3 linked regions of the Neurospora crassa OR74A genome follow. The protein of the gene in region 2 interacts with the protein of the main gene of each other region in a pairwise test. Links are inferred from orthologs where the notes say so. Each region holds a gene or a part of one and is shown on either strand. Other genes may lie near its edges.

The links.
Region 1: the proteins of NCU02538 (region 2) and NCU00493 interact in binary tests that used the Saccharomyces cerevisiae proteins (3 or more experiments, as listed by UniProt). The link is inferred for Neurospora crassa OR74A from reciprocal best matches to the Saccharomyces cerevisiae genes RET3 and RET2.
Region 3: the proteins of NCU02538 (region 2) and NCU04404 interact in binary tests that used the Saccharomyces cerevisiae proteins (3 or more experiments, as listed by UniProt). The link is inferred for Neurospora crassa OR74A from reciprocal best matches to the Saccharomyces cerevisiae genes RET3 and SEC26.

The regions. Positions count from the first base shown.
Region 1 is NC_026503.1:4,046,443-4,052,911, reverse strand, and holds NCU00493 (coatomer subunit delta), read right to left. Parts: upstream 4,189-6,469; 5' UTR 3,909-4,188; coding exon 3,906-3,908; intron 3,850-3,905; coding exon 3,215-3,849; intron 3,160-3,214; coding exon 2,349-3,159; intron 2,287-2,348; coding exon 2,197-2,286; 3' UTR 1,837-2,196; downstream 1-1,836. Other genes in the region: NCU00494 (hypothetical protein), read right to left, coding at 1-91, 144-738, 818-1,133, 1,194-1,404; NCU00492 (hypothetical protein), read left to right, coding at 5,237-6,469. UniProt on the Saccharomyces cerevisiae protein: The coatomer is a cytosolic protein complex that binds to dilysine motifs and reversibly associates with Golgi non-clathrin-coated vesicles, which further mediate biosynthetic protein transport from the ER, via the Golgi up to the trans Golgi network.
Region 2 is NC_026501.1:2,661,680-2,668,146, forward strand, and holds NCU02538 (coatomer zeta subunit), read right to left. Parts: upstream 3,542-6,467; 5' UTR 3,369-3,541; coding exon 3,329-3,368; intron 3,249-3,328; coding exon 3,147-3,248; intron 3,063-3,146; coding exon 2,822-3,062; intron 2,749-2,821; coding exon 2,505-2,748; 3' UTR 2,268-2,504; coding exon of another isoform or gene 741-2,267; 3' UTR 657-740; downstream 1-656. Other genes in the region: pod-6 (polarity-defective 6, variant 1), read left to right, coding at 1-224; NCU11234 (translation initiation protein Sua5), read left to right, coding at 741-2,267; NCU02539 (cell division control protein 54), read left to right, coding at 4,043-4,367, 4,431-6,467. UniProt on the Saccharomyces cerevisiae protein: The coatomer is a cytosolic protein complex that binds to dilysine motifs and reversibly associates with Golgi non-clathrin-coated vesicles, which further mediate biosynthetic protein transport from the ER, via the Golgi up to the trans Golgi network.
Region 3 is NC_026504.1:3,470,746-3,477,128, reverse strand, and holds NCU04404 (coatomer beta subunit), read right to left. Parts: upstream 4,375-6,383; 5' UTR 3,937-4,374; coding exon 3,635-3,936; intron 3,570-3,634; coding exon 1,147-3,569; intron 1,079-1,146; coding exon 930-1,078; 3' UTR 575-929; downstream 1-574. Other genes in the region: NCU04405 (mago nashi protein), read left to right, coding at 4,740-4,777, 4,845-4,882, 4,966-5,061, 5,121-5,184, 5,247-5,334, 5,397-5,537. UniProt on the Saccharomyces cerevisiae protein: The coatomer is a cytosolic protein complex that binds to dilysine motifs and reversibly associates with Golgi non-clathrin-coated vesicles, which further mediate biosynthetic protein transport from the ER, via the Golgi up to the trans Golgi network.

The sequences.
Region 1 (6,469 bases), on a different chromosome or scaffold from region 2:
ACCTCTCGAGCGCAGGCAAGAAGTTCTCATGGACGAGGCTTCTGAGATTTTGCAGGCCGCTTACAACTGCTTTATCCCAACGCTTGTGTCCCTAAATACTTGTCAGTCCTATGGCACTCTTCACATCTCCCTACTCAACTTACTCTCTCGGCTAGGCTGTCGACAAGCCACTCCTTCACCAGAGGAAACACATGTCCTGTTGCAACTGTGTGATACAATGCCTGGACTATGGTCACCGGCCCCTTGGGACTCCTCTCTAGGTCCTCTTGAACACCACGTAGAAAACGCCCAGGAAGCTCTCTTGTCGATTTCCACTCACTAACCATGTGTGACTGTGCCTGCTTCAGATACCGAAGGAGATTCTGAAGTGTTGTCGTGTTCGACGCCAACAAAGACAGGTTGATAGGCGATTTGTGTACAAAAGTGAGGTCCATCGGAACAAGAAAAAGGGATGTCGGACTACCCTCCTTGGGTCTTAGGAGGAGTGCGTGAGTAGGCACTTTATGATGGGAACTATGACCGCAAAGCTGGAAAGGACCCTCGTTTGAGGCGGGTCCTCTGGCCGTATGCGGTACATGTTGAAAGGTTCCAATGACAAATGAATCGTAGATGCTGAGATGAATGCCTCCGTCGGCTGTGCCGGTGATCATGACATGTACATTGTCCGAGTCCTCGGGCTGGTAAGGGCGGAACACGAACTCGAGTGATGCCGCGGTAGAGAAAACAAACATATCGTCCCTATAGCCATGTCAGTTACACCATCACTTTTTTAGGTTTGTCTCCCGGCACTGCAAGCTCATGGGTCCTGTACACATACCCGATGCCTCCCGACAAAGGAAGAGGACTAATTTTGGGGAGAGCAGTCTCGATTTCCAGAAAAGTCAACTCATGAGGGAGGTCCAGAACATGCTTCTTCTCATCGAGCATGAGATCCCGCCACGGCAAGTCGGGGAGGTCATTATGCTTCCTGGCACGCGACTTCCTACCAGTTTCGTTTTTGGCCCAGGCGATGAACTCAATCTTAGAAGGCTTTCCACCATGACCTGCCACGCGGATGTGATGCACGGCTTTGTTGCTTTCCAAGCCGATCAACCTCACCACGCCGTCACTCCAGCCGGCAGCTAAGAATTGGCCTGCGAATTCCCTGTAAGACAGTGGTTTCCCTCAACAGCCATCGGAAGATCTTCACTTACCATCCTCTTTCCACTTGATTGCATCAACCTTCTGGTTTCGTTCTGTATGCTTCGAGACCAACTGATTGCTGCCACGCCAGACATAGATCGTGTTACCGTCGCCGACCGTGGCTGTCAAGTCGATCACGGGATTGCATACGATTTGCTTGCCTGAGACTGGCACACTCAAGGCGCTTGAACTGAATAGCTGAAGCTGCCCATTTGGGGACATTTTGTAGGATCCGTTGGTGACTTTCAGTTGGATGATGTTATTTGGACGTGGAAAGCAGCGGCTAAGTGGTTCCAGCCTTCAACTCCGGGACGCAAGATTTTGATTTGAATGACACGCGCAAGTCCATAACTTGGCAAGTCGGTTTGTATGTTTGGGGGATTTCGGTTTTGGTTTGCTAGACCTACAGCTTCACTTGCCTCGGCGTGATGTTGTTGTTGTTGTTGCTGCTGTTCTGCGATTCAGTCGTGTGGTCTCGTCCTGCCTGTTGATTCAAAACACAGTGCAGATAGAGCAGTTGCCACAGTAATAGAAATACTGTGCAGGGGCATCCGTACTGTGTAGGTATGACCTTTACAAGCTTACCTAGCGAACTACACACATCGACATCAATTACCATACTCTGTGCTTACAACAGCGATGATTGAGTTGGATAGCTCTTTGCGTAGATAGGCTTCTTTCTATATGGTACTGGATCATGAGGGTATCCATCCCCTTAAAAATGCGTAGGGCTCGTAGCTTACATGTTACTTTCAAGGATCCCGGGAGCGTCAAAAACCTCTTGTTCAAAAAGTCAAGTATGACCTTGGGTATCAACGGAAGAAAAGGAATGACAGCTCGAGCACCCACTGGCGCGGACCATGTACAACAGTATTCATTATAAAGGGAGTTGGACAACTCGGTTGCTTCCCATACATTACTCTAATTCTGGTGTGGAAGATGATGATCGAGACGCCTGGCCGGCATGCTACGGTCGCCCTTTTTTGGTTCTGCTCAAAACAATGACAACAAACCCTACTCAATGAGGAACTTGTCGGCCACCGATCTGATGTCCTTGGAAAACGAAACCTCTTCACCTTCATCCACCAGCTCAACAGATTGAACCTAGAATGTGTCAGTTGTTCCGTCTTTACCCGTTTTTCTGACATGAGGGGGCGACATCTTACATCAACCTCCACGAACGGCCACGACTTGGAGAACCGTACTTGCATCGGGAAGAACTCGTTCTCGTCATCGGTCTGCGCCTCAAACTCGAATGATCCGCTGGCGTTCTCCTCGCTTACGGTGCCTATCGACCACTCTAGACTGTCACCAGACACCTCATACACAGCGTCGAAGCTAGACACCTGAGGCTCTGCGCTCGTGTAGGGGATGACGACAGTAACGTCCTTGAGGGTATCTCCGCCAGTGAGCTCGTACTCGACCGTCAATGTGCTGTTGCCATCCGAGCCCTTGTTGACCCAAACGGTGAAGCTGATTGGTAGTGCGCTGGTGTCGTCGACTCTGGGACTGGCCCGCCACCTTAGAACTCCGACAGAGTTGTTAAGGGGGAAACCCTTTGTGATTTGAGACAACTGGATAGCCTGGGAGCTATTGAAGACATTCTTATCGACGTTCGGGTGAGTGCGGAACTGGGCGCCGTGGGTGGGTGTGGCGCTGAGGTTGAGCTTGATCCTTGAAAGCGATGGGTCGGAGACGCGAAGCTGGAGGTCACCGCTGACCGAGAGGGATTCGAGGGCACCATCTCTCGACAGCTTGGCACTGATTGCCTCGTTGATAAGGACGTGAATAGCATCCCTGTCGAGTGTCGAAGAGACTCTGGAAGCAGCAGGCTCTGCGGCAGCTGCCGGCGCGGCTACCGGAACAAGGGGCGCTTCCTCGGCCTCGTGTCCAAGATCCCCCTTCACGCGCTCGAAAATATCCGTATTCTTGGACTTCTTGCCCAACTGCATACCTTTGCCCTTTGGCGCATTGAACCTAGAAGAATGTGAGCTTGCAGGCCAGCCTGAAAAGAAGAGGGACTAACACATACTTGACCTTGTTCTTCTCGGCTTCGTACGTATCATAGGACTCGGTGACAGCAGGTCGCACCGGCGGGGTGTATGTGGGATATACCGGCGTCCGGGGTACCGCGGACCGACCAGTTCTGGCCGACTCCTTGCGCTGCATCTCCAACTGCTTGGCTTTCCTCTTGCGCTCTTCGGTGGCCTCCAGCTCCTTGTTGCGGGCAATGATTTCCTGAATGCGCTCCTCGTGGCTTTCCATCTCGAGGAAGGTCTTGATCTGGCTGATGGTGAGGTTCTCCCGGTAACCGAGAGTCACCAGCTCATCGAAGGCGCTGAGCAGTTCGTAGGCATTTCGGAGGATTTCGCGCTCGTCAAGGCTCTTGCAGGTGCTGGTGACAACCTGGGCAAAAAGGTGGAGCGAGTCGATGTCCTGAAGGATGTTGGACTGCTTGTTGGTGATGAGGACCATGTACAGCTCGTCCAGGGGCTGGTAGACGAATCGGACATTGTCTTGCTCGACAATGGTGTGCTGAGTACCCGAGTCGGCGGCCTTGGGGAACGAGGCGAGGAGAGCTTCGATGCGGGAGCGCTTGATGTCGTTGAAGGCGCGGGCTAAGACGGCCTTGCCGCCGCGGGTGCAGATGGAGGCAGCGAGGACAACCTGACATGTTCCGTCAATCGCTTCTTCCCACCAGGAGACAGGGATGGATGAGTTACCATTTTGACAGCAGTAAACAACAACCACGACTACTGACTCGAAGGGCGCTTCGTGGTAGTGCAGGGAGCTTTGGGATGCGTTGGAGGTAAGTCGTGAGCTTCACCTCCTGAAAGTTGTCGTGGACGGGAAGGTTGATGTGGTCTTTCCGTTGCCGTGCTGAGGTGTGCTGTCGGTCAGGTCCAATTGAACTGAAGGTGCCATCTGGAGGGACCCAGCGGGCAGCGATAGGTAGAGGTACCTGGACGGCAGCTTCACTGCAGCGTCAGGGCAGTCGGGTTCAGGCGGGCCAGGGCAACCTACTGCGTACACGGTGGCAGCGTCCTGGCCGGCCGACGAGGGGCTGCCAGCTGGCAAAAGAAATCCAGGGGCACACCATAGATACAAGTACAGTAGGTAGGTACCTCTAGGCACCCACAGGGCCCGCTAAACTCCATGCGGCACTTGCTTAGGTTCAGTTTCCTTCCTATGATCAATTCTGCGAATTTCACCGTTGTCCACACACTGCGGCAAAACCAACAACTGCACCTCTTTCTTCAACACGCACAACAGACGGCCCCGTGTGTCGAAATTTCACGATTTCCATTTCCATCCAAACCATCGCCTACCTCGAAAAACCATCCGCCATCGAGAAACTTGTTTCTCAATCGCGTCAAAGCATTGCCCAGCCAATACGAGTCTCGATTACGGATCATCAAATACCTACGCTACCTTTGTGACACGCCTCGTCATCAAGAGCTTACTCGACTCCGTTGCACTTCACCCACCTCCCAGCTCCGCCGCTCCGTGAAAGTGAGGCATCCCGATTATCTGCCTGCCGCGTTTCAGCATTCCATACCTCGATTCGATGTGCACTTTTGCCCAGAACATCCGCCCCAGAACTCTTAACAGCGGTTAAATCGTGTTGTCGGATTCCGCCAGTCCACGTGTCGCCTCACATCCCTTCACCGTTTCATTTTGCGCCCCAGAAGCGCCGTTGTTTGTCGGGCGTTCTTTGTCGAGTGCGGGGTTGCCCATTCTCAGCCATAACTCCAGAACCCGTGGTCTCTATATGCCCTACGGCTTCGCTTCCAAGAAGAAGTCACAGCCTTTCAGTCCAAGACATCCACCGAAACCCATCGCCAAGCTTGGGGTTTTGACCAGTGCACCAATTTTCTACGTCTTCGCTTCTTTCATGACGCTTGCTGGACGTACAATTTCTTGACAACGGCAATACGTCGCACCTTCTTAGAAACTTCGTGGAAGTTTTGCGTCATTTTCCAAATTTTCGTTCTTGATCCAACTCACTCGTCTGTGGCGCGTGTTTTGATTGACCCGCCAACCGCCAATCATCATGGAGCAAGTTAGCTTCGACGTTCGTGCCGAGGCGGGGAAGGCGGTATTTGACGATGACTTGATGCTAGATGCCGGCATGCCAGCCGACGAGCTTGTCTTAGAACTCGACGACCTACATGACAAGGAAGATGAGTACCAGGCGATCGATCTTGATGCCCAACCCGCCACAGCGGATGTTGAATTTGCTGTCGATGACCTCGAGGCTCAGCATAATACCAACGATGAGCAAGCAGAGGCGGCAGGCGGCGTCGAGCAAGATGCTCAGGATGTCTCCATGGCATACAATGACGAGATAGGTTATGAAGAGGAGGAGGGCGTTGCAGAAGAGGCTGTTACTGAACACGAGCCCGAAGATACCACTATATCAAAAGCGCCGTCTGCAAATGACGAGAATCCAGATCTACGTGAATTGGAACAGGAAGCCCAGGACGTCCAGATTGATCTTGCTGAGTCCAAATTGGGCGACGATGCGGAAGAGCAGCCGATCGGGCGTGAGGCCGAGACAAAGAACCCTGTTGATCAGGAGGCTACTGAACAAGTTGCCGAGACCGATGTCGGTCTGGACGTCGGTGGTGTTGCAGCTACCAACCCTCTGGATACAGCTGTCTCGGGAGCTGAACAAGCGGGCGAGGCCGTGAGCGAGGATCGCCAGCTCGAGGAAAGCCAGATTGACCATGACGAGGCCATTGTTGATGATGCTGCATTCAGCATCACAGATATTACAGTCCAGTATGATGGTGGCAGTTATGCCCTCTTTGGGAACTCGGACATGGATCCTGAGACCTACTTTCTTACCGATACTGAGATCGCAACCGCACCGTTGTCGGAATTACTTGCATCTATCCGTTCTGTCATTGCCTCGGAGTTAACACCCGGAGAAGAACTGGTCATCGTTATTGACTCACTTGATTTGAACTTTGGCGAAAGGTCCAGTAAAGACTTTTTGCAGCGCAGCTTTCATCAGATCATTTACTGCTACAATGTCCTTCTAGCTAAAGGAATCGTCACAGAGACATCCCTAACGCTCAATCTTTTGGTCCGTCCGGACCCCGAGGGCCGGTTCCTGGACTTGCTCGAGGAGGCAGGCATCTGGAGCGGAGCAGACTACTCTCCCGATTACTCAGATGCCTCCGGGGAGGATGAATATCTGGATGACGATCAGGACATTGAAGATTATGATGACAATGACAACGAAGGCCTCGAAAATGATGGTGATCATGAGGATGGCCAG
Region 2 (6,467 bases):
ACAGCAATAGCCAGGGTTCGACAGATATGATGCACATGCCTCATGTTCCGGAGCCGCCGAGAGTCAGGGTGATGCAGGGCATGGCGAATCGAGAGGAGGTGAGGGATGATGTGATGAGATTGTTGGCTAGCTTCTCGGAGCACTTGGGGTTTGCGAATGCGCATGTGAATACGCTTCCGGTCAGGCAGGGGAGGAGGGGAAGTGAGGTGGACACGAGTGTCTGAGGGAGGTAGGGTCTTGTAACGGGATGTTATTTGTCTCAGAACCACACTGAAGTAATTGTTTAATGTGTGTATTTGGTGTGCTTACTGAGGTCCAGGGGTATATGGTGTAGCATGGATCTAGGGTCAGGTATAGATAAGCGGTATCATACAAACAATTCACGAATCACAATATGTGTTGGTAGATGAATTACTATCCATAGTTCAGCAAGATTGAAGAGGCCGTCCATGCTCAACATGTGTTGTAGTTAAGTTTTGTTGTGGTGGTGATTGTAAGATGAGCAGCCTAGAATAGGGCGTAAACTGGTTTTGGGTTCAAGTTGAGACGGATAAAAGAGAAAAATTTCTCCACAGTGACTCAAAGGGAGCCAAACCCTGAGCTTGACCACCACCACCAAGTTCGAGACTTGTTGTCTAACACAACCGATGCCTCACAAGATATCCGTTGCCTAAAATCGCCAAGATAATCGACAGACTCTGGGTTTTCAATCCATCTCTCGAAATCGTCGAATCCCCTGAATGAAGGGAACTATTTGCGCCAATATTCTAACTCTCACTACCCGATTCAAACGCTTGCACCTCCCACAACTCACCCCAATCCTCAATCGACACCACCACACTATAACCACAGACATAACTAGACCAAAATCTACGGCAGTGCCATTGATGGCACCCGCTATGACAACTTCGACGACAATGGAAACCCGGATTCTCAAAGTGAAGGTGGACGACAGCAACATCCAAGTGCTCGGCCACTGGAAGGAGGAGTCAGCAGAACACAAAGATGGAAGCAAAACGAAAACTAGCAATCTCAACACATGGGAGGTCCCAACTACATCAGAAAATGAGAATATACTGTCTCCCATCCGCGAAGCAGCCCACCACCTCCGCACCACCGACATTCCTGTCGCCTTCCCCACGGAAACCGTCTACGGCCTAGGCGCCGATGCCACCCGCAGCGCTGCCGTCAAGGGAATCTATGCCGCCAAAGGTCGACCAAGCGATAATCCTTTGATCGTGCACGTTTGCGATTTGAGCATGTTACGGTCATTCATCTCTCCCTCCTTCTCCTCAGCAGGAGACGAAGAAGACCCCATCCCAGCCATCTATCACCCCCTCATAACCCGCTTCTGGCCCGGCCCCCTCACCATCCTGCTACCCAACCCCTCCCCCTCCCTCCTCGCTCCGGAAGTAACCGCCGGCCTACCCACATTCGGGTGCCGAATGCCCGCCTCGGCGCTGGCTCGCTCGCTGATCAAACTCGCCAACGCCCCCCTCGCCGCGCCCTCTGCGAACGCCAGCACTAAACCCAGCCCCACCGCCGCACAACACGTGTTAGACGATCTACGGGGTCGCATCGCACTGATCTTGGATGGAGGATCATGCAGCGTAGGGGTGGAAAGCACGGTCGTCGACGGGCTTTGCTCGCCGCCTGTGGTGCTGAGGCCGGGCGGGGTCAGCTTGGAGGAGATTAGGGAGTGTAAGGGGTGGGAAGGCGTGGAGAAGGCGTATAAGGATCAGGCAGAGGTCGGAGGAAAGACGGCGCCGAGAGCGCCGGGGATGAAGTATAAGCATTATAGCCCGAAGGCGAGGGTGGTGTTGTATGAGGCGGAGGGAGGGAGGAGGGAGGTACCGAAGGCGGATGTGAGGGAGGCGGTTGAAGCGGCTGGGGAGGAGGAGGGCAAGGGAAACGTGAAGAGTGTTGCGGTTATTAGGACGGGGAGATGGCCTGTTGCCGGGGGGTTGAGGAGTCAGGGGCTTGATGATGTTGCTGCGAAGGACAGCGGGGACGTGGCCGAGACTGGGTTCGCTGTCAGGGAAGGGCAATGGCTGGATGAGGACGGCACCACGGTGTTGGCAAGGCTTCTGGAGATTGATCTGGGCAACGATGTCAAGGGGGTGGCACATGGCCTTTTCGCTGCCCTCCGAGAGCTGGACAGGCGCGGCGCGGATGTAATATTCGTAGAGGGTGTGAGTGATGGAGACGATATCGCGGCGGCGGTCATGAACAGGCTGAGGAAAGCCGCTTCCGACATTAGAATATAGACGGGGTCAAACCCTATAGATCGCAAGGGAAAAGACTATAACTCCTGTTTTCTGCTAACCCATCACTTGTTGGCTTTTCGTGTCTTTTTGCTTCGCCTTTGGCTCATTACTCTGCCATAAAAAGGCTCGCCAAACAAAAGGGCCTGATACCTTTTTACGAACCAATGCGCCAACTTTACCTTGGTTGCTCCCATCCGCCACACTCCTTCCCTTGTCATTACCCACCCGCACATGCCCTTAGAGACCCTGACGAAGCCAGTCAGTAAGCTTAGCCTTGCCTAGTTGTGCCAAGTTGTTGACACCCTGCTCGGTGAAGGGGTCGAGGCGGCTGAGGTTGACATCGGCAGGCGGCGCCTTGCTGCATCGTTGAATGATGATGGTGGGATCGGTCTCGAGAACAACGCCGTCATCCACGATTTCGTCGATAGCGAGGGATACCAGATCGTAGTTTTCGACTATCGTGCGCTTGTCGATCGATTGCCTGAGTAGAAAGTCCGTGGTTAGCCAAATCATGTCCCATGACCGGCACCTTCACGTTCGCCATAAATACTCACTTGAAGAGCATATGCAAGCTGTCCCTAAGCGCCAAAAGTACGTTGTAGAGCAGAACTTCGTTCTCGTCCGCGCTACCAACGACGTAGATAGCAACGTCCGACTCCATCTTGTAAAGCACCACCTTGTTGTCGTAGAGGAGGATATCGCCCGTCTGCTTAGCTGTCTTCTGAAGGAGGCCCTTCTCGAAACGGGTTTGAGAAGTCTTGTCGGGATAGGGGTTCTGGGAAGCGCTCGAGGAAGCTGTTGTGCACAAGGTTCGGGCTGGTCAGCCTTACGGGAACATGCGACACCGAATAAGGGGTAAAAGGAGCGTCTATTGCGTACCGAGTCCGGCGGCCACTCCTGTTCCTGGTGCGCCAGCGGCAGCGTGAGGAGGAGTGTAGTATTTTGAGAATATCCGCGAACCGTCATCGCTGGAGAGGATTACTGTTGGAACGCAATTGTCAACATTGCTCGACGTGGCGCGTATAAGCCAGGACCCAGGAGCAGCGTGGTGCCTAGTGTACCTATAGCGTTGACGCTATACAGCGACATTCCTGGCGACATCTTGACTGGTTATCTGGGGGTTCTTGTTTCTTGATCAATTGCTGTCTCGAGACTGGTATCGGTTGGAGAAGGTCGGCGACGAGGGGCAACTCGACTTCAATGGGCGCAAGTGGGTAGGTATATAGTGGTTAGCTTGAACTCCAGAGGTGCTGCGTAGGTAGGTAGTGCTCACAATGACCAGGGGCAGGCGGTATCGTTGGTTACCGTGGTGAGCGTGGGTATTGTGGGGTGAAGCGGTCCCTGTGATGTGGCTTGAATCCAGAGCGAACACTCCAAGCGAGGCCCCACGGCGCGGTACGTACCTTACGTACCTGACAGTTCGCACTCAAGAGCAGCACTGCAGTGGCCTCGTCCGTCTCATTTGGGTATGACAGGGGTTTTAATGGGTCAACGCGAGTAAGCCCCCGCAGACACGAACGGCCGTGTAAAGTGCTTTTATCAGAGACGCGTGTGTCGCGACTGTCTTTTTTTTCGATAGGAACGTGATCCACCTTGCCCGTCCTGAACACGCTGCCGACCTGCCAACCACCTCGCAATTACAGAGGGATCGGGAGCCGCCACAACAACACTCCAGCGTCTCCATCCCAACCTGCCCGTCTTCTGTCCCTTCTTGTTGGTTTAGTTTCCATACTTTGTATTATCTCAACAAAACCACCGAGGACAGAGTAGTAAACATGTCTTCCCCAGCAAAGCGCAGAACAACGAGAAGCTCCCAATCAGCTACTCCCCGCACTACTCGCAGCTCGCAGGCTGGTCCTTCGAGCGCAACTCCTCGCCAGACACGCGCATCACAGCTTGCCTCTAGTCCCTTATTCTACGAGCCCTCCTCGCCTGCCAATGGCGCCGCCCCGGTATCTTCTCCCTTGAGGCAGATGAGCAATACCCAGAGCACTGCCCACCAAGGCAATGCGCCGAGCTCGCCTTTGCGCCAGCAGACAGAGACCCAGAGCGATGCTGACCGAACTCCTCGCGCAAACGGACGGAGCCAGTTAATTGGGGGTATGGCTGTCAACCAAAAAAAAAAAAAAAAGGACTACACTGAATGCTGACCACACTCCGCAGACTCCTCTCCCATCCGCTATGCCTCCAGTTCTAGCCCGGGCCGTCAGCTTACTCAACAGTCCGATCTTCGTAGCGAAAGCAGTCAGCTCTTCGTCAGCTCGCAAAGGTCCGTTGCCGGTCGATCCCGTCGAGGCGACATCAACGGGGACCCTCTTCGTACTCCCGCCCAGATTCCCCGCCGAATCATCCTCGACGACGCCGGTCGTGTGATCCGCGATGCCCCTGGCTCCGATGCCAACTCGTTTGTCACCAATAACCCCAATACCTCTGAGGCAGATGCCCTTGGTGGACAAAGCCAAGGTCTTGTTTGGGGTACAACAATTTCTCTTGACGATTCGTTCTCCGCGTTCAAGGACTTTCTCAGGAACTTCACCAGGAAATACCGGATGTGGGCAGATGGCGCGGACGAGGCCGAGACTATTGGCCATCCGGATGCGGATTCGAAGCCATATTGGGAGGCACTGGAGAATATGCTGCTGCTTGGTACCAACAAGCTGTATCTGGATCTCCGCGACCTCAAGTCCTACCCGCGCACCTTGAAGTTATGGCATCAGGCCCAACACTATCCTACCGAAATCATCCCGGTCATGGATCAATGCGTACATGACTGTATGATGGAGTTGGCGCAAAAGGAAATGGCCAGCCAAAGAGCATCCCAAAACTCTAGGACCGCTCCAGGTGCCTCACAAAGCTCGGAGCCGAACTTCCCAAGCTCTGAAAGGAGCGAGGAACCGCCCACCCCGCGGCCTGCCCAAACAGCGGCGCCCACAATTGAGGACCAAGTCAGCCAGATGGCGTATGTGGTTCGCCCGTGGGGTCTTGACAAGATCACCAACCTCCGTGACCTCAACCCATCTGACATGGACAAGCTTGTGTCCATCAAGGGTCTTGTCATCAGAACCACGCCGGTCATCCCCGACATGAAGGATGCATTTTTCAAGTGCAGTGTTTGTGGTCATTCTATAACCGTTCAGTTAGATCGTGGCAAGATTCGTGAGCCTACAGAGTGTCCTCGGGCTCGCTGCGCCTCCAAGAACTCAATGCAGATCATCCACAACAGATGTGCTTTCGAAGACAAGCAAGTCATCAAGCTGCAAGAAACTCCGGATAACGTGCCTGCTGGTCAGACACCCCACTCGGTATCCGTTTGCGTCTATAACGAGCTTGTGGACTTTTGCAAGGCCGGTGACAGAGTTGAGCTCACTGGTATCTTTAAAGTCACCCCCGTTCGTGTCAACCCGCGCATGAGGACGGTCAAGAGCGTGCACAAGACATATGTTGATGTTGTCCATGTACAAAAGGTCGACCGCAAGAGGATGGGTTCTGATCCCTCGACCCTCGACCTTGCCGAGGAGGAGGAAGCCCATGCTAATGGCCAGAGCATGGACGAAGTCCGAAAGGTCTCTCCTGATGAGGAAGAGAGGATCAAGGAAACTGCCGCTCGACCGGATATCTACGATCTCCTTTCACGTTCTTTGGCTCCATCAATTTACGAGATGGATGATGTGAAGAAGGGTATTCTTCTTCAACTGTTCGGAGGCACGAACAAGACCTTTGAGAAGGGTGGAAGCCCCAAATACCGTGGAGACATCAACGTTCTCCTCTGTGGTGACCCATCCACTTCCAAGTCCCAGCTTCTCTCCTATGTTCACAGAATCGCCCCAAGAGGTGTGTACACGAGTGGTAAAGGTTCTTCTGCCGTAGGTCTTACCGCCTATGTTACCCGCGATCCCGAGTCCCGCCAACTCGTTCTAGAGTCCGGTGCTCTCGTCTTATCCGACGGCGGTGTCTGTTGTATCGACGAGTTCGACAAGATGAACGAATCGACCCGCTCCGTTCTTCACGAAGTCATGGAACAACAGACCGTGTCCGTCGCCAAGGCCGGCATCATCACCACTCTCAATGCCCGAACATCAATCCTGGCGTCTGCCAACCCCATTGGTAGTAGATACAACCCTGATCTATCAGTGCCGCAAAATATTGACCTCCCGCCAACCCTTCTATCCCGTTTCGATCTGGTCTACCTCATCCTCGATC
Region 3 (6,383 bases), on a different chromosome or scaffold from region 2:
CCCCGTCTACATCATATCACATTTGATAATACCTATTCATCACTTCAACCTTCCTTTTAAGAACGAATATGATACCATTTCCCTATTTTGTTTCATTAACAAGACACCTGGGAGGACATCTTCAAAGACTTACTTTTTTCATATGTCATGGTTAATGGCGGAAACAAAATCCACGTCATACACCGCATACGATACCTTACTTATACCCCTTTTCCTTTCTTCGCCTACCTACGTACCAATAATTTTTTTTTTTTTTTTTTTTTTCATAATGTGCAATTAGGCAGACAGCATATCGCCGAGCAATTACTTTCTACTTTTTACTTTTACTACTGTTTAATCTTTACTTTTGTACCCAAGTTTGTGCTCTGGGTGGGGGAAGGGTCGTATGGCATAATCATGCCGTGGAGAAAGGAATGGATAAGAGACCGCAGTGGAAGGAGGAAATGAGTGATGGAAGGGATGGTGGACGAAGTTATGGGTGACTATATATGAATGAGAATAATGCGCGTGTCTGTTTGAGCTTGTCTAAGAGATCCACTGACTGATGACTGAGGATGGCATTAATCACACCTGGCTGGTTTTCTGTCAAGGATTGATTTTGTGTCTATATCTGATTTTTCCATCTGGATAATTCATCCTGCTTCTGGGTTCATCCTCTGCTTTTGTCTTCCTCATCCATCACACTATATGTCGAAAACCCTTTACATTTCAGCCATTAATCGAAGCATACAAAAGAGAGTGACATGAGTCTCATCCGAATCTCTCACAAGCATCAACTAGTGGAAATGTAACAAAGACTATGATAACAACAACTGAAACAAACCACAACGGTGAAAAGAATATCAAGTGATGAATTAATCGCTATACAACCCTCCCAATCACCCCATACATCATCTTTTTCATCTCATCTAGCCGGAGAGAAAATCTGTTCAAGCGGCAGAACCAATCTTGTTCAATGCCTTGAGGGAGCCAAGACTGAGGGCCAACCCTTGCGATCTGCTGCGTATCCTCAAGAAACCAGTAATGGGTCCGTCTTCACCTTCCTTTTCGATGCTCAAGTTTGCTAGAGCGTCCTCGCCTGAATAAGAGAAGGGAAGTTAGCGATGCTATTTCCGAAAGTGCTATGCGAATGACGAGAAAACTTACCGAAAACGCTTCTTGCGTAAAGGTTGGCGCTCAAGAACTGGCAATCACCCTTAAGACTGGCCTCTGGTGTCAAGCAGTTCATATTTGTGGACGCCATAAGCAGGTCCAGGAACTCACGTAGGCTCTTCGCCTTGCTGTTGATGTTGACCTTGTTCTCCCACTCAAACTCGGTCCACATGGTGCGGAACTGGGTCTCAGTGCAAGTTGCCGGTTGGATGTAATCCATGATGTCGACGTGCAAGTCGTTCAGGATGACCACGTGGGTATCAGTGGAGTGAGCACCCTCATACACGACGTTGCCAAAGATGACACCAGTATCTGTGGAGGAGACCTTGATGGTGCACTGAACGTTGTGGAAGTCGTGGGGTCCCAGATTCTGGCTTGTCGGCTTCTCCACAACCTTGAGGTCACCGAGAGTTGCGAACTCGACGGTAAGGTTCTGGAGGGTCTCAGTTGTTTGGTTGACGAGTAGTACGTCTAGTACAATGTCGAACTGGTGGACCTTGACATAGGCCTCAGCATAAACAGGGTCGGAGAAACCGGTGAGCTGGACAACGCGGCTAAGCTTGCCAGATAGGTCCTCAGCCGAGCTGTTGTCTCCACCAGTGGCACGCTCGAGATCGGCATCGAAAGCATCAGCCCCATCAGTGGCATTCTTCTTGGAAAGCTGGCGGATTTGATAAACATCGTCCACCTGGGTGGCCGTCTTTGCCTTTTGGTGGGCCTCTTTTGCTGCGCGCTTCTTCTCCTCAACCTGGACCATCGCCCTGAACGCCTTCCTGGTATCCTCGAGATAAACGGTCTCCAACTCCTTGTGCGCGGTGAACTCGGCAAGGGAGCGCACACAGCTCATGATACGATCCACCGAATCTTCATCAATAGGGGCCTTGACGAACTGCGACTGACCAACACGAATGACGGAGATCATGATGAGCATAGCCTCAGCGCGGAGGGCGTTCGTGCGAGCCTCTTCCGAGGAGATCTCGGCATGACGCATGACAAGCTTGGTAAGGGTCGATGCGAGAACAGTGGCAAGGTAGTAATCGCCGTCAAGGATAAGTTGCCTGAGAGGGGGCTTCGACGAAGCCTTGACAGCCTCCAGGCGTGCAGCAGCTGTAGACTGGCTGGTAAGGGCAGTCTCGGTAGCGTATGTGCCGTCAGCAAGGACCTTGCGTGAGCCAGTCGGCGCTGCCCTTGAGCCATTGACCTGCTCCTTCTCCTTCTCCTCGGCATCACCATCAACATTATCCAGCAACCGTTGCTCGGATGCCAAGATCGGGATCTCACCCAGGCTTGCCCGAATTCTCTTCCATGCGTCCCTGATATCCTTCTCCTCAAGCGAGTACTCGCCGATAATCCAGAGAATACCGCGGTAGATCTTACCAGCGCGGACTTCACTCAGGGTATCTACCAGTCTCGCAATGATTGCTGGCCTGAGCTGAGGGAACTTCTCGACGACCTCCTTGACAAAGTTAATAACATCAACGGCGGAGTTGTTGTTGAAATCGGCAATAAAGTCCATGAGCAAGCCGACGACGCTAGCGGCGACTTCGGAGAACTTGATAGCGCATTGATGGATGGAGTGGATAAGAAGCTGGCGGTACTCGTTGTTCTTCTCGTACTCCTGGTCAACCGTCTTGGACAGCTCCTTCTTGAGCAAAAGCACGACTTCCTCCACGTTCTTGCTGGAGACCATCTCCAAAGCGATCTCGAGACCCTTCCTCCGCACATCGATATCCGTGCTAGAGAGAACGCGCAACACCTCCATGGTCAGGTCGTCCAGGACGCCGGGGTTCTTTTGGCGGAGTTGATCGACACGGTCCAGAACGATAAGCTTGACATTGTTATCCGCCTCCTTGATCGCAAGCTCAATGAACTTGCTGGCAGCAGCCTTGACAGCGACAGGGTTGTTGGTGAGGGCCGTCAACGACGAGGCCGCTTCGTAGATAACGGTCGAGGCACTAGCTTCCAAAAGGTCAAAAATAAGACGGAGGTAGCGCGCCTTGTTCTGGGTGTTGACAACAGCATCTTTCCTGATGAACTCCAACTCGGCCAACTGCAAAAGCTCATCTGCGTTGGGAATACCGTCAAAGACGGTGCTGAGATAGAGAAGAGCCTTGTCGTGGTCGATGCTGGCAAGGGCGGCGAAGCCATTCCGCTTGCAGGTTGGGTCGCTTTCGCCTTCGAGGAACGTGGAGATCAAGTCCGCAGCATCGGGAATAAGCGACGGGGAGTGCTGGTAAATGGAAGCGACAGCAAAGACGGCGTTCTTTCGGACATAGGCATGGCGATGTTCGAGACAGCCCCGGGCTGAGGAGAGCAAAGGCTCGAGAAGTTCGGCCTCCCGCAGCTTGCACAGGAAGCGCAGCGTGTTGCCTCGGATGTACTCGTTCGGGTGTTGCAAGTCGTTTCGGATGCCGTTACTGCGAGGCAATGGCTGGTCAGCTTGGAGGGGCCAGCATGCCCAGACGGACACGGAATGCCTTACCATACTAGGATGAACTCCTGCTTGAGCTTCCCTTGGGCATCAAGCTTGGGGCAGATCTCATAGTAGAAGTATAGAAGCTTCTTCAGGGGCTTGGATTTAGAAGGCATTACGAATCGGATAATGTGCATGAGCAATTGGGGCATGGGATCGCCATTGAGCATGATGGTAAGAATGCGCTTCATGGTCTCGATCTTGGTCTCGTCGGTGCCCTTTTCGAGCTGCGTCTTGAGCTCCTGCACGGTTGGGGTGCCGTCGACGGCATTGTCCTTGACCAAGCTGTAGGCATTTTCGAGGAACGACATGTTGGAGAGCTGGCGGCGGCCGGGCCGTCTTTGATTAAAGTTGAGATTGAATTTGGTAGAAAGTAGCTGGCCGGGCGTCCTGAAGAGGAGTCGCGGATCGAAATTAGAGAGGGGCGGGTGTGGTAAGGTGTTGTTTGCCCCGTTGTAGGTTGCGTGGTGCTAGTAAATGGATGGACTGAGTGGCTGCCTCGAGCTCCTGAAGAGTGACGATGAGCTGGCCTTGGTGCTGGATGTGGTTTCCTCCCCCTGGACTGACAGGGTCGTGGTTGGCCGAAAATCAAGAGACGGCTGCGCAATGAAAGGGTTGTCTGGAGTGCGCCGGCGAGGTGAGAGAGCGGAGCATCACCTGTGCTTGTTGTTGAAGTCTGGAAGAGCCAGCGTGGATAGGACGGTCAATTCTATCGAGAGACGGCCCCTGGGAGATGTGGCATTCTGGCCGGCCGCAACAGCACACGGCGAAGCACGGACCCCCCGACACCCTTACGGCCTCACCAAGCCTCCATCTCCTGGCCGAGTCTGCCATCTGCCAGCTTGTCCAAACAGTCGAAGGATCACGTGTAGATACGGATTGCCAGCTGTCAGGAAGGCTCGTGAACCCGGAGTCAGCTTGGAGCCCAAACAATGCCCCTGGGCCAAGCTGGGGTCAAGTGTGGGGCCGTGTGCCCCGCCAATGTCACTGGAGCGTGGCCGCGCGGGCGCGACTTTCAAGGTTGTCCATCCAAAAGCGACAGGAACCAAGCCGCTGGCTGCATCTCTGCCTCTTGTCTTGCAAAGCCTACTACTGACAGAAGCAACAAACAGCCATGTCAGCCGCCAACGAACCCTTCTATCTGCGCTACTAGTATGTACACCCCTACGGGATTCGATTCACTCACACATTGAAAACACCATGCTAACAGCCGGCTTAGCTCTGGCCACTCGGGCCGCTTCGGCCACGAGTTCCTAGGTGTGTTCAGCCATTTGCGCCTCGAGACGCAAGCTCCCACGTTTCCACGACCACGATGCTAAACTACCGCCCTTTGACTACAGAGTTCGACTTTCGCGTCCTCGGCGACGGACGTAGCGCCACTGCCCGATATGCCAACAACTCCAACTACCGTAACGACAGTCTGATCAGGAAAGAGAGTAGGAAACACTGTTTAGCCGGCCGTGGACATCCATATACTGACGAGGGTCTCTTTTAGTGTGCGTCAGCTCTCTGGTCATTGACGAGATCAAGCGCATCATCAAGGACAGCGAGATTATGAAGTACGACATCATGTTCACCCTTTTATACAAACAACATGGAGCGGCTGCTGACAGGCCAACAGGGAAGACGACGAGAAATGGCCGACCAAAAACAAAGACGGAAAGCAGGAGTTGGAGATCCGCCTCGGGAACGACCACATTTCATTCGAGGTGCGTCTTGCCAGTGTCGGAATCTATTTCTGCAAAATGTTCAGAGCTAATACAGGAAATAGACTGCCAAGATCGGATCGATCAACGATGTTACGGACTCGGCCGACCCAGAAGGCTTGCGCGTCTTCTACTACCTCGTTCAGGACCTCAAGGCGCTGGTGTTCAGTCTCATTGCCTTGCACTTCAAGATCAAGCCCATTTAATCTTCCGACACGAACGAATACCCCGAGTTTGATATATCCTTACTCATGGAAAGGAGAGATTTTGTGGGATAATGCGGCGTTTTATAAAGGCGTTCTTTTCTATCTATTGGCGGCGCAGATGGGTTTCTTGAAACTGGATTTAACATGGATAACTTCGGGACTGGCACAATCGTATACATTATCGACCAATCGCCCCACTGGCCCCCGAACCTAAGAGTCGTCATGGCTGTTTGTGTCAGCTATTGATGATGACCAACCAAGCAGTGTGAGGCAAGATATCCGATGCAGTTGCCAGGCGGAGACCGAGTGATGGAACACCGACATCTCATTACGAAGCACACCAAAAGCATGCCGCTGTACGATTCGTACAACAAATTCGATTCGTACCTCTATGTGAAGAGAGACCTGCCATGGCTGGTCTTGAATCACGATTGATCAAGTGACAAAAGGTTGGGCTACCAACTTTAAAGCAGTAACAAGGTCCGCACATGTCAAAGTAAGAAGTTAATCGATCCAACTCTCCGACTTTTGGCTCTTATTGGCGGTAGACCGGTTATGCTGTGTAACTTTTCGCTTGACGAGTAACGCGGGGTAGACTTTCCTTCCGAGACACATCCAATGCGAAATGGCTTCAGTTTATGGTAAATCCAAGTAGTACAAAATGCTTCGTGAAACTCGGTCCATCCTGGAGCCCTTCGTCGTCGACGTTCCTGGCATGTGCGACGGATCGGGAAGGGTCACTCGAGATGGAAGTGGAAGTTACCTCGGTGGGGCTACTGACGTGAAGGATCTCCACCGCGATAAGCTCTATCGAACCCCTGAAGCTTCCGTCGACACCGCCAAACT